Neurospora crassa OR74A: one gene and its partner. The protein of the gene in region 1 interacts with the protein of each later gene in a biochemical or structural test. Links are inferred from orthologs where the notes say so. Each region holds a gene or a part of one and is shown in the gene's direction. Other genes may lie near its edges.

The links.
Region 2: the proteins of un-10 (region 1) and NCU08046 form a complex in vitro, tested with the Saccharomyces cerevisiae proteins (4 studies listed by BioGRID, with this or other methods). The link is inferred for Neurospora crassa OR74A from reciprocal best matches to the Saccharomyces cerevisiae genes PRT1 and TIF35.

Annotation. Positions count from the first base shown.
Region 1 is NC_026507.1:3,330,318-3,334,393, reverse strand, and holds the start of un-10 (eukaryotic translation initiation factor 3), read left to right. Parts: upstream 1-1,276; 5' UTR 1,277-1,503; coding exon 1,504-1,775; intron 1,776-1,910; coding exon 1,911-3,453; intron 3,454-3,519; coding exon 3,520-3,948; 3' UTR 3,949-4,076. Other genes in the region: NCU02207 (T-complex protein 1 subunit beta), read right to left, coding at 18-172, 248-250. UniProt on the Saccharomyces cerevisiae protein: RNA-binding component of the eukaryotic translation initiation factor 3 (eIF-3) complex, which is involved in protein synthesis of a specialized repertoire of mRNAs and, together with other initiation factors, stimulates binding of mRNA and methionyl-tRNAi to the 40S ribosome.
Region 2 is NC_026504.1:4,018,238-4,022,846, reverse strand, and holds NCU08046 (eukaryotic translation initiation factor 3), read left to right. Parts: upstream 1-1,778; 5' UTR 1,779-1,848; coding exon 1,849-1,874; intron 1,875-1,930; coding exon 1,931-2,185; intron 2,186-2,341; coding exon 2,342-2,990; intron 2,991-3,194; coding exon 3,195-3,419; 3' UTR 3,420-3,933; downstream 3,934-4,609. Other genes in the region: NCU08047 (hypothetical protein), read left to right, coding at 1-901. UniProt on the Saccharomyces cerevisiae protein: RNA-binding component of the eukaryotic translation initiation factor 3 (eIF-3) complex, which is involved in protein synthesis of a specialized repertoire of mRNAs and, together with other initiation factors, stimulates binding of mRNA and methionyl-tRNAi to the 40S ribosome.

The DNA of each region.
Region 1 (4,076 bases):
TTGGTGAACAAGCATACGCAGACTGGAGGATCTTGTCCATGCCCTTGGGACCAAGGGTGCTCTTGACGAGGTCGCCAACAGCAATGGCGCCGACGAAGGCGCTGAGACGGGCATTCTCTCCCTTCTCTTCTGTGGTGCCCTCCTCGAAGATCTGGGTGGGGCTAAACGAGGCCTGGAGATGGTCAGGCGGTTGGTTAGTTACGGTGAGCTCGGAAAGATGCCCAAAGTGATGTACAAATCAACTTGCCATGATGTAGAAGAAGCTTAAGTATTAGACAAAAGGTCGGGGATACGGGGTGCACAGGGGGTTGAGGTTGGAAGAGAAGAAGAAGCAATTGAAGCTTGGTAGTACTATATTTTGGGTGGACGTTATGGATACCCTGAACGCGAAGCCTCCTTTCTACAACAATCTGCCAGCAGCGGGACGGATGATGCTCTTCTGAATTCCAGGCACTTTTTGGACGGCAGGCCACGGCAAAATTCCAGAGCTTCCTGTTCCTCCTTTACCTCACCGCCTGCGACAGGTGGCATAAAATGCTTGTCACTCGCATGCCAGGCCGTCTGCCCCTCCTTTGACAGACAAAATGTCCACTTGAGGTGAGTGGGCAGCAGGGGACCCCACTTGGACGTCTTCCGTGGGGAAGGAAGAAAGGGGGGGGGAGGGGAGCTTTGGGCTGGCAGCGGCGGCGGCGGCGGTGGATAGTGGTGGACAGCGCAGCCAGCACTTTGAGAAGCGAGGAGCCCAGGGGACTACCGTCGAGGCTCAAAGCCAAGAGGAAAGGGAACCTGAGTCGGTGCAACGAACGAACCGCAACCTTCAGTCCACTTCTTGACTTCAAAGTGATGGCAACTTGAAACCTGTAAACTCTGCTGAAAGCGGACAGACGTTGCCATGGTCAATATTGGTTCCGTGCACAAACGAACAATGCTTAGCCCACTGCCTGCCGCCATCATTTTGTTAAAAAGAAAGGAAACCGAAAAAGTTGTAGTTGATGAAGAATAGAGACAGCATCGAGAACTTGACTTTCCCAGGCTGAGTGTTCATTGCGACTGTGCAATATCCATGATATCTGAGGCTCCGTCTTCTTTAACCTCCAAACTATCCACCCCATCATTGCATTCACTGACATAAATTCCCATTTTGGCGATTCCAGAGAGAGGGGATCTGGTAGGGTAGCCAATCAACGTGCATTATTGCCTCCTAAAGTGGGGCATTCCCTTCACTGTCTTCCCTGGTTCTCTGGCCGTTCTCACTGAACCCCACCACAATCTGCGCGCTGCGCACAAATTCTCACAATAATCCTGACGACCGCATAAGCCAGCACGTTGTTCCGCCCGCGGCATCGCAGAAAAAATCCGAAGCGGCCAGCCCAGAATCCCGTCATCCACCAAGTCCAACCACCACCACCACCACCAGAGGCGCCTTCCCGACCCGTACATCGCCAGCTACCACTAATCCCCGGCACCCACCAAGCATAACAGACTGCCGATTAATTGCCCAGCATGGCGCCCTCTTTCGACCACCTCCGCGACGAGGACCTCGACGAGGATGACTTCGATGTTGATGAGGTCGACATTTCCGATATCCGCGAGAAGTACGAGGTTCAGCTTGAGCAGGGCTACGATGCCTTTGTCGTTGTCGACGGCCTCCCCGAGGTCAACGAGGAGCAAAAACCCAAGCTCGTCAAGTTCCTGTTGAAGAAGCTCAACACGGTTGGCAAGACCCGGGAGGACCTCATCTTCATGCCCATGGGCGAGGATGGAAAGTCGCTGAGGTATGCAACACAGCCGCCGCCTTCAAAATGATGCGCATCTACAGACCGGCCATCCATCGCCGCGCCCGAACCGCGATGTGTCCCTATGCTGTGCATGTTGGCTCCCCGACCAGGCCACTGATATGAATTCTGTAGGTTCGCCTTTGTCGAGTACTCGTCGCCCGCCGAGGCCGCTGCCGCCTGCAGACAGCTCGACCTCGTCCCCCTCGACAAGAAGCACACCCTCCGCGTCAACAAGCTTACCGATGTCGACCGCTATGGTCGCGAGGGCCGTATCGATGACGAGTACACTCCTCCCAAGATCGAGGAGTTCCAGGAGAAGGAGCACCTCCGCTCCTTCATGGCCGACCCCAGCGGCCGCGGCAGAGATCAGTTTGTCATGTTCAGGGGAGAGTCCGTTGGTGTCTTCTGGAACAACGAGAAGGATACGCCCGAGAATATTGTTGACCGCCAACACTGGACCGAGACCTTTGTGCAGTGGTCGCCCCTCGGTACCTACCTTACCTCCGTCCACGCCCAGGGTGTTCAGCTTTGGGGTGGTCCCTCGTGGACCAGGCAAAGGCGTTTTGCCCATCCTTTTGTCAACCTTGTCGCCTTCTCTCCCAACGAAAAGTACCTTGTCACCTGGTCCAACAGGCCGATTTCGATTCCTGAGGAGGGTCACCCCGCTCTTTCTGTAGAAGACGACGGCAAGAACTACGTTATCTGGGATATCGAGACCTCCAAGCCCCTTCGTTCTTTCGCCCAGCTCGACACCCCCGCCGCCGCCGAGGGCGAGGCTCCCAAGAAGGCCCCCAAGTTCCCCTGGCCCGCCTTCAAGTGGTCTGCCGATGACAAGTACGTCGCCAGGCTGAACCCCGGCCAGTCTATTTCCGTCTACGAGCTTCCGAGGATGAACTTGTTGGACAAGACCGCCATCAAGATCGAGGGCGTTGTGGACTTTGACTGGGCTCCCGCCACCGTGCAGCGCGACGGTGTCAAGTCCTACGAGCAACTTTTCTGCTTCTGGACCCCTGAGATTGGCAGCAACCCCGCCAGAGTCGGCTTGATGAGCATCCCCTCCAAGCAAGTTGTCAGGTCACTGAACCTCTTCAGCGTCTCGGATGCCAAGCTCCACTGGCAGTCCGAGGGTGCTTATCTGTGCGTCAAGGTTGACCGTCACTCCAAGTCCAAAAAGTCTCAGGCTACCACTCTTGAGATTTTCCGTGTCAAGGAGAAGGGAGTCCCTGTGGAAGTTGTCGACACCATCAAGGATACCGTAATAAACTTTGCCTGGGAGCCCAAGGGCGACAGGTTCGTTATCATCACCACCACCGAGCCTGTCGGTGCCACCGCGGTTCCCCCCAAGACGTCGGTCGCTTTCTTCTGCCCTGAGAAGGCCAAGGGCAATGCTGTTGGAAACTTCAAGCACCTCCGCACTCTCGAGAAGAAGAACAGCAATGCCATCTACTGGTCGCCTAAGGGACGCTTTGTGGTCGTTGCCACTGTTGCCAACACTCAGAGCTCTGATCTCGACTTTTACGACCTCGACTTTGAGGGCGAGAAGCCCGAGTCCGACAAGGACCTTACCGCCAACCTTCAGCTTATGAACACCGCTGACCACTACGGTGTCACCGACGTTGAGTGGGACCCCTCGGGTCGCTTCGTTGCCACCTGGGCTTCCGCGTGGAAGCACTCTGTAAGTATCATTGGTATTAAATCAAGATGACGTGCAGCAGAAATCGCTAACGTGAAACAAAAACAGATGGAGAACGGATATCATCTGTATGACTTCAAGGGTGAGCAGCTGCGCGAGGAGGCTATCGAGAAGTTCAAGCAGTTCCAGTGGAGGCCGCGCCCCGCTACCCTCCTTAGCAAGGAGGAGCAGAAGGCCATCCGCCGCAACCTCCGCGAGTACTCGAGGATCTTCGAGCAGGAAGACGCCGAGCGCATCAGCAGCGCCGACGTTGCCGTTGTCGAGGCCCGCCGCCGCCTCCTCGAGGAGTGGTTCGCTTGGCGCGAGGCCATCAGGCAGGAGGTTGCCGAGGAGCGCGAGATCTACGGCCTTCCGGCGGATCCCGTTGCCGACCTCATCAAGGCCAAGACCCCCGAGCTCGCCACCGACCAGGAGGAGCAGGTCATCGAGGAGATCATGGAGGAGGTGTTGGAGGAGACCGAGGAGATCGTTCAGTAAATGTGCGAATAGGCGGCGGCAGTAGTTTGATATGTTGTGAAGTTACATGGCGTACCGTTTTTTCCCCGTTTTTCGAAAAGGTCATCTGAGGGTACAGTGAATAAAATGAACTGGGTTCTTTCATATCT
Region 2 (4,609 bases), on another chromosome or scaffold:
CAGAAGACAGTCTCTGCAGACGTCGAATCATCTCCTCGAAATGCGTCTCGCCGCCTCTCATCCCCTCTCGAGTTTGAGCACGTGGAATTTCGATCCCAGCAGCCCTTCGAGCTCTAGCAAACGATCCAGCCAGCGTTATTCGCTCACTAGGTCAACAAAATCCCTCCCGGAAGAGGAAGTTGAACCATCTTCTCCACCTCCTCCGCTACCTTGTCAGATGCGCGGCGGTTCACGGAGACCCCCGCCCTCGGCTCTGTGCCTCAACTCACGCCCGCTCTCTTTTGTGGTGGATCAACCGTCGCCTGAATCGCCGTCGCTTGATAGGAAAGGTGTTTCAATCGAAGTAGCTGATGAGACAGCACCGGAACCGGAGTCCCTTTTCTCGTCTTGGGGATTGCCGGACGCAACCAAGCAACGTTGTGACAGCGGCGAGGACTGGGAGAATCTCTCTCCCACACAACCTGTCACACATGGTAGCCCTGAAAAGAGGTCAGGCTATGCTCCTCCATCATCAGTGGCTTTCCAAGACATGCTCAGATCCACTCCGTCCGTCGGCGATTACCCAGGTAGCCCATCGAAGCGCGCCGATAGAAGATTTAGTCTGCAGTCTCAGCTGTCAGAAAGGTCAAGCGAACCTGATCGCAGTTTCCTTGATCTGAGTGACCTCGGTGACGATCTCGGCGACCTTCCCCAGATATCTTCAACTTCACTTTCGAAGCAGGGCTCGAGACCCGCGCCCCATTTTAGGTCTTTGTCGGTTGCCAACGGCGGCTTGGGTTCGCGACGGAATAAGACACAGCTGGCGGAAGGTCCCCCACCTGCTCCCCCGCCGAATCGTGCCCTTCCTCCAATCCCGAGAAAATCGTCACTTCAAGTCTGTCACTCAGCATATTCACCTTGAGCTGTGATTTGCATTTACTCGTATCTGGCGCCATACCATCATTCAACGCATCGCCATTTCTGGACGTCTAGGAAGCACGACCACTGAAGTTTCCGAGTATCTGTCAGCGACAATACTTGCAGAGCAAAGGGCGCCTGGGGATTCAACTGATAGAGATAAACCGCCATCGAACCGCTGATTGACTCCGTCACCATTTCCTTTGTCTCTCTTTTTTCAAGGTCGGGTTCAGTCGAAAAACAAGATACCGGTTAGATGGATGGAATAAGGATGCAGGAAGCAAGATACTGGATACCCAGGTGATGAGGGTACATTTATACCACCGGCGACATCCGGAACGTAACGTGTGAACGATCTCCTTTGTCAGGTCGATTTGGTGCGGGATTTGTCTTTTTTTGCCATATACCTTGTATTATGTAATGTTGGGGTACCTACTGTGTATGTAGGTGATTAATTGAGGAGGTGAGTGTGGTGGGCATGAAGGGCGGGGTGGTTTTCGATTCTCAATCGGAGGAGGGGGGTCACAGAGTCAGAAGAAAGCTGGTGCCCGGCAGGCTCCGTGGCCAACTTAGATAGCAGTGAGTTTAGAGCATCAGATATGGATGCTTGGAGAAATCTGAATCGAGTTCAAACTCTCAAACTTTAACCTCGGTGCCAGCCATCAACTTGCAAACAAAGGTACCTACTATGTACAACACGTCCTGGTGTCGAGAGAGTTGAGCTAGCTCCATGTTGCGGCGCCGCGCCCTGCCCCTGGTAGGCCTGGAGGAGCAACGTTCGGGTTAGGGTTGTGATGCCTGTGATGCCCCCACTAATGGATGCGAAGTGGAAGCAACCCAAAGCGGATAATGAAAGAAGGGGCAAAACACCTCAACGTATACGTCTGGATGCGACCAGTCCTGCTTTGTCAAAGAACGAAGCTTCGTTTGTAGGGAGCCGTATTGGCTGTCATGTGCGAATCTGCTGCCTTGATATTGTACGTAGGATAGAGCACCGTTAGCTGCCAAACAGGGCTGATTTCCTGAGTGAAAGCCGAGTCAGCAAGACAATTTTTGCCCCACACTCAAATATCCAAAAATTCCCACCTCCAAAAAATGGGGGGGAAAACTGCCCTGGCTTTTCAAACTTGAGCCCCACCAAAAATCGCCGCCAAACCAGCGCAACGTCAACCCATCGCGACGACAACCCACGGCCATTTCAGTCATCCACCGCACCCATCACCAGACGAGCCGAACCTGCGGAATCAAAACAACCACATACTGTCAAGATGGCTGCCGTTCAACAGAAGTCAGTACTCCTCCGCTTGCCTCGACAGCAAACGCCCGTCTGCATCCACGCCCCCGATTCCCCCGATTGCCATTTTTCCGGCGTGCTTCACAACCCAACACGTATGCATTTGATTTCTCGGAGAGTAAGAGTCTAACATAGTTCGCGACCATTCAGGCACGACTGGGCCGACGATGACGAGCTCGAGGAGACCTCCACCGAACTCCCGCCCCCTCAGAAGATCACCAACAAGGATGGCAGCACGACCATCATCGAGTACCGCCTGAACGACAACGGCCAGAAGGTCAAGACCACACGACGCATCCGCTACATCACCCACCGTGAGGTCGTCAACCCCCGCGTCGCTGAGCGCAAGTCGTGGACCAAGTTCGGCCTTAGCGTCAAGGACGGCGCCGGCCCGGCCCCCGACACCACCTCGGTCGGCGAGAACATCATCTTCAAGCCTTCCTTCAACTGGCGCCAGGAAGCCAAGGATGAGAGCAAGGACCCCAACGCCCAGGCCATGAAGGACAAGTTGAAGGACAAGAAGGTCAAGTGCCGTATTTGCAACGGCGAGCATTTCACCGCCCGCTGTCCCTACAAGGACACCATGGCCCCCATCGGCGAGGCCGGCGCTGCCGCCGACGTCGCCGCCAGTGCTGCTGACGAGGCTGCTGCCGCTTCCCAGGGTGCGGCGGGCGCGGGCAAGAAGGGCTCGTACGTGCCACCTGCGCTGCGTGGTGCCGGTGGGGCCGCGGCTGCTGGAGAGAGGATGGGCGGCAAGTACGGCGAGCGCGACGATCTCGCCACTCTCAGAGTTACCAACGTACGTTTGCCCCTAGTGTCCCCCAAAAGGACGCGGAGGAGGAGGAGGAGGAGGAGGTGGTGGTGGTGGTGGAGAAGAAGAAGAAGCAGAAGGAAAAGGGAAAGAGGGAGTAGGCGACAGACTTGCAAAAGCTGCTCTGTTCTGCTCCTAAAGAGGGGTTATTATGACGGGACTGATTCGTGCTAACATGTTTTCTACGCTTAGGTCTCCGAGATGGCCGAGGAACAAGAGCTTCGCGATATGTTCGAGCGGTTCGGTCGCGTCACTCGTGTCTTCCTTGCCAAGGATCGCGATACGGGTCTTGCCAAGGGCTTCGCCTTCATCAGTTTCGCTGATCGCAGCGACGCTGTCAAGGCTTGCGCCAAGATGGACGGTTTCGGTTTCAGACATTTGATCCTTAGGGTTGAGTTCGCGAAGAAGGCTGCGTAAACTTAATGGGTCTTCTAGACGGACGAGGAGGCGGAGGAGAGGGAGGAAGGGGTTAGAGGAATGATGGAAGAAGCAGCGATGTTTTGGTCCCTAATGCGGTCTGCACAAGGAAGTGCGTCATCAAAATGGGAAAGGACTCTTTGATACTACTATTACTTGATCTGGTTCCTGTCTCTTCTTGCTGTGGGGGTTCATACTAATGGGGAACAAGCGGCAAAATTTGTCATGATCGAGAGATTTCTTCCGCCTTTTAAGCATATCGGGCCAGGGTGGCCAGGTGGTTATAGTTGACTTTTGTTACATGGATGACGGGCTAACTCCAGGTTGAACAAGATCGGTGTAATAGACTGGCAACATGCCCGGACTACAGGAGCCCAAAACGCACCGAAGCTCTTCAGAATACAGTGTGGTCTTCTTGTCGATTCAGGGCGCATGCCAGTGTTTAAAACAGCTGACAGCCTCTCTGAACTCTTGAATTATTATCAGTGCATTTATCTATCCCGCTGAACGTCCCTGGCATCAAACATTATATTACTTGGTGACAGAATCTGTTATGATGTCCTATCATCAACTCAACCGACCAATCGCAAAGACCGTAAGTTCCTGAGCTCTCTCAAAGCAGCCGGCACGTCCCTTCATCCTCTTCATCTTCCTGTCTCATTCATCTCATCACCGTAAAAGTCGTTCATCCCTCCGCCCTGCCCTCATAAATCATGAAGTCTTGGAAGATGTCGACAAAGAAAAATGGCTGGTTGCCTATAAGAGAAATAAGAAACAAATATCACTCGAGAATGAAATGAAAAAAAAAAAAAAGGGGGGGGGGGGGGGACATTCGGCGCAAAGAAACCTCAGCAACAACACCATGAACACACAAGAACAATAGCCTCCCGCCCATCATAACCCCTACACCTTCTCATCCCTAGACCTTCTTGCCTTTCCCCTCCTCCTCCTCCTTCGGTCATGATCACTCTCTCCATCAGTATCATTCCCTTCCTGCCTTTCCTTCTCCTCCTCATCGTCATTCTCGCTTCCATTCACCTCTTTCAGGCATGTTCCACCCTCCTCTTCCTCCCTTTCCCTAACCCCCCATACCTTTCTCCTCCCTCCGCCTTTTTTCCTCTTCCCAATCCCCCGTCTTTCCTCCGACTCCTCTCATCATGTATACGGCACTCTTCTAACCCACCCCTAGC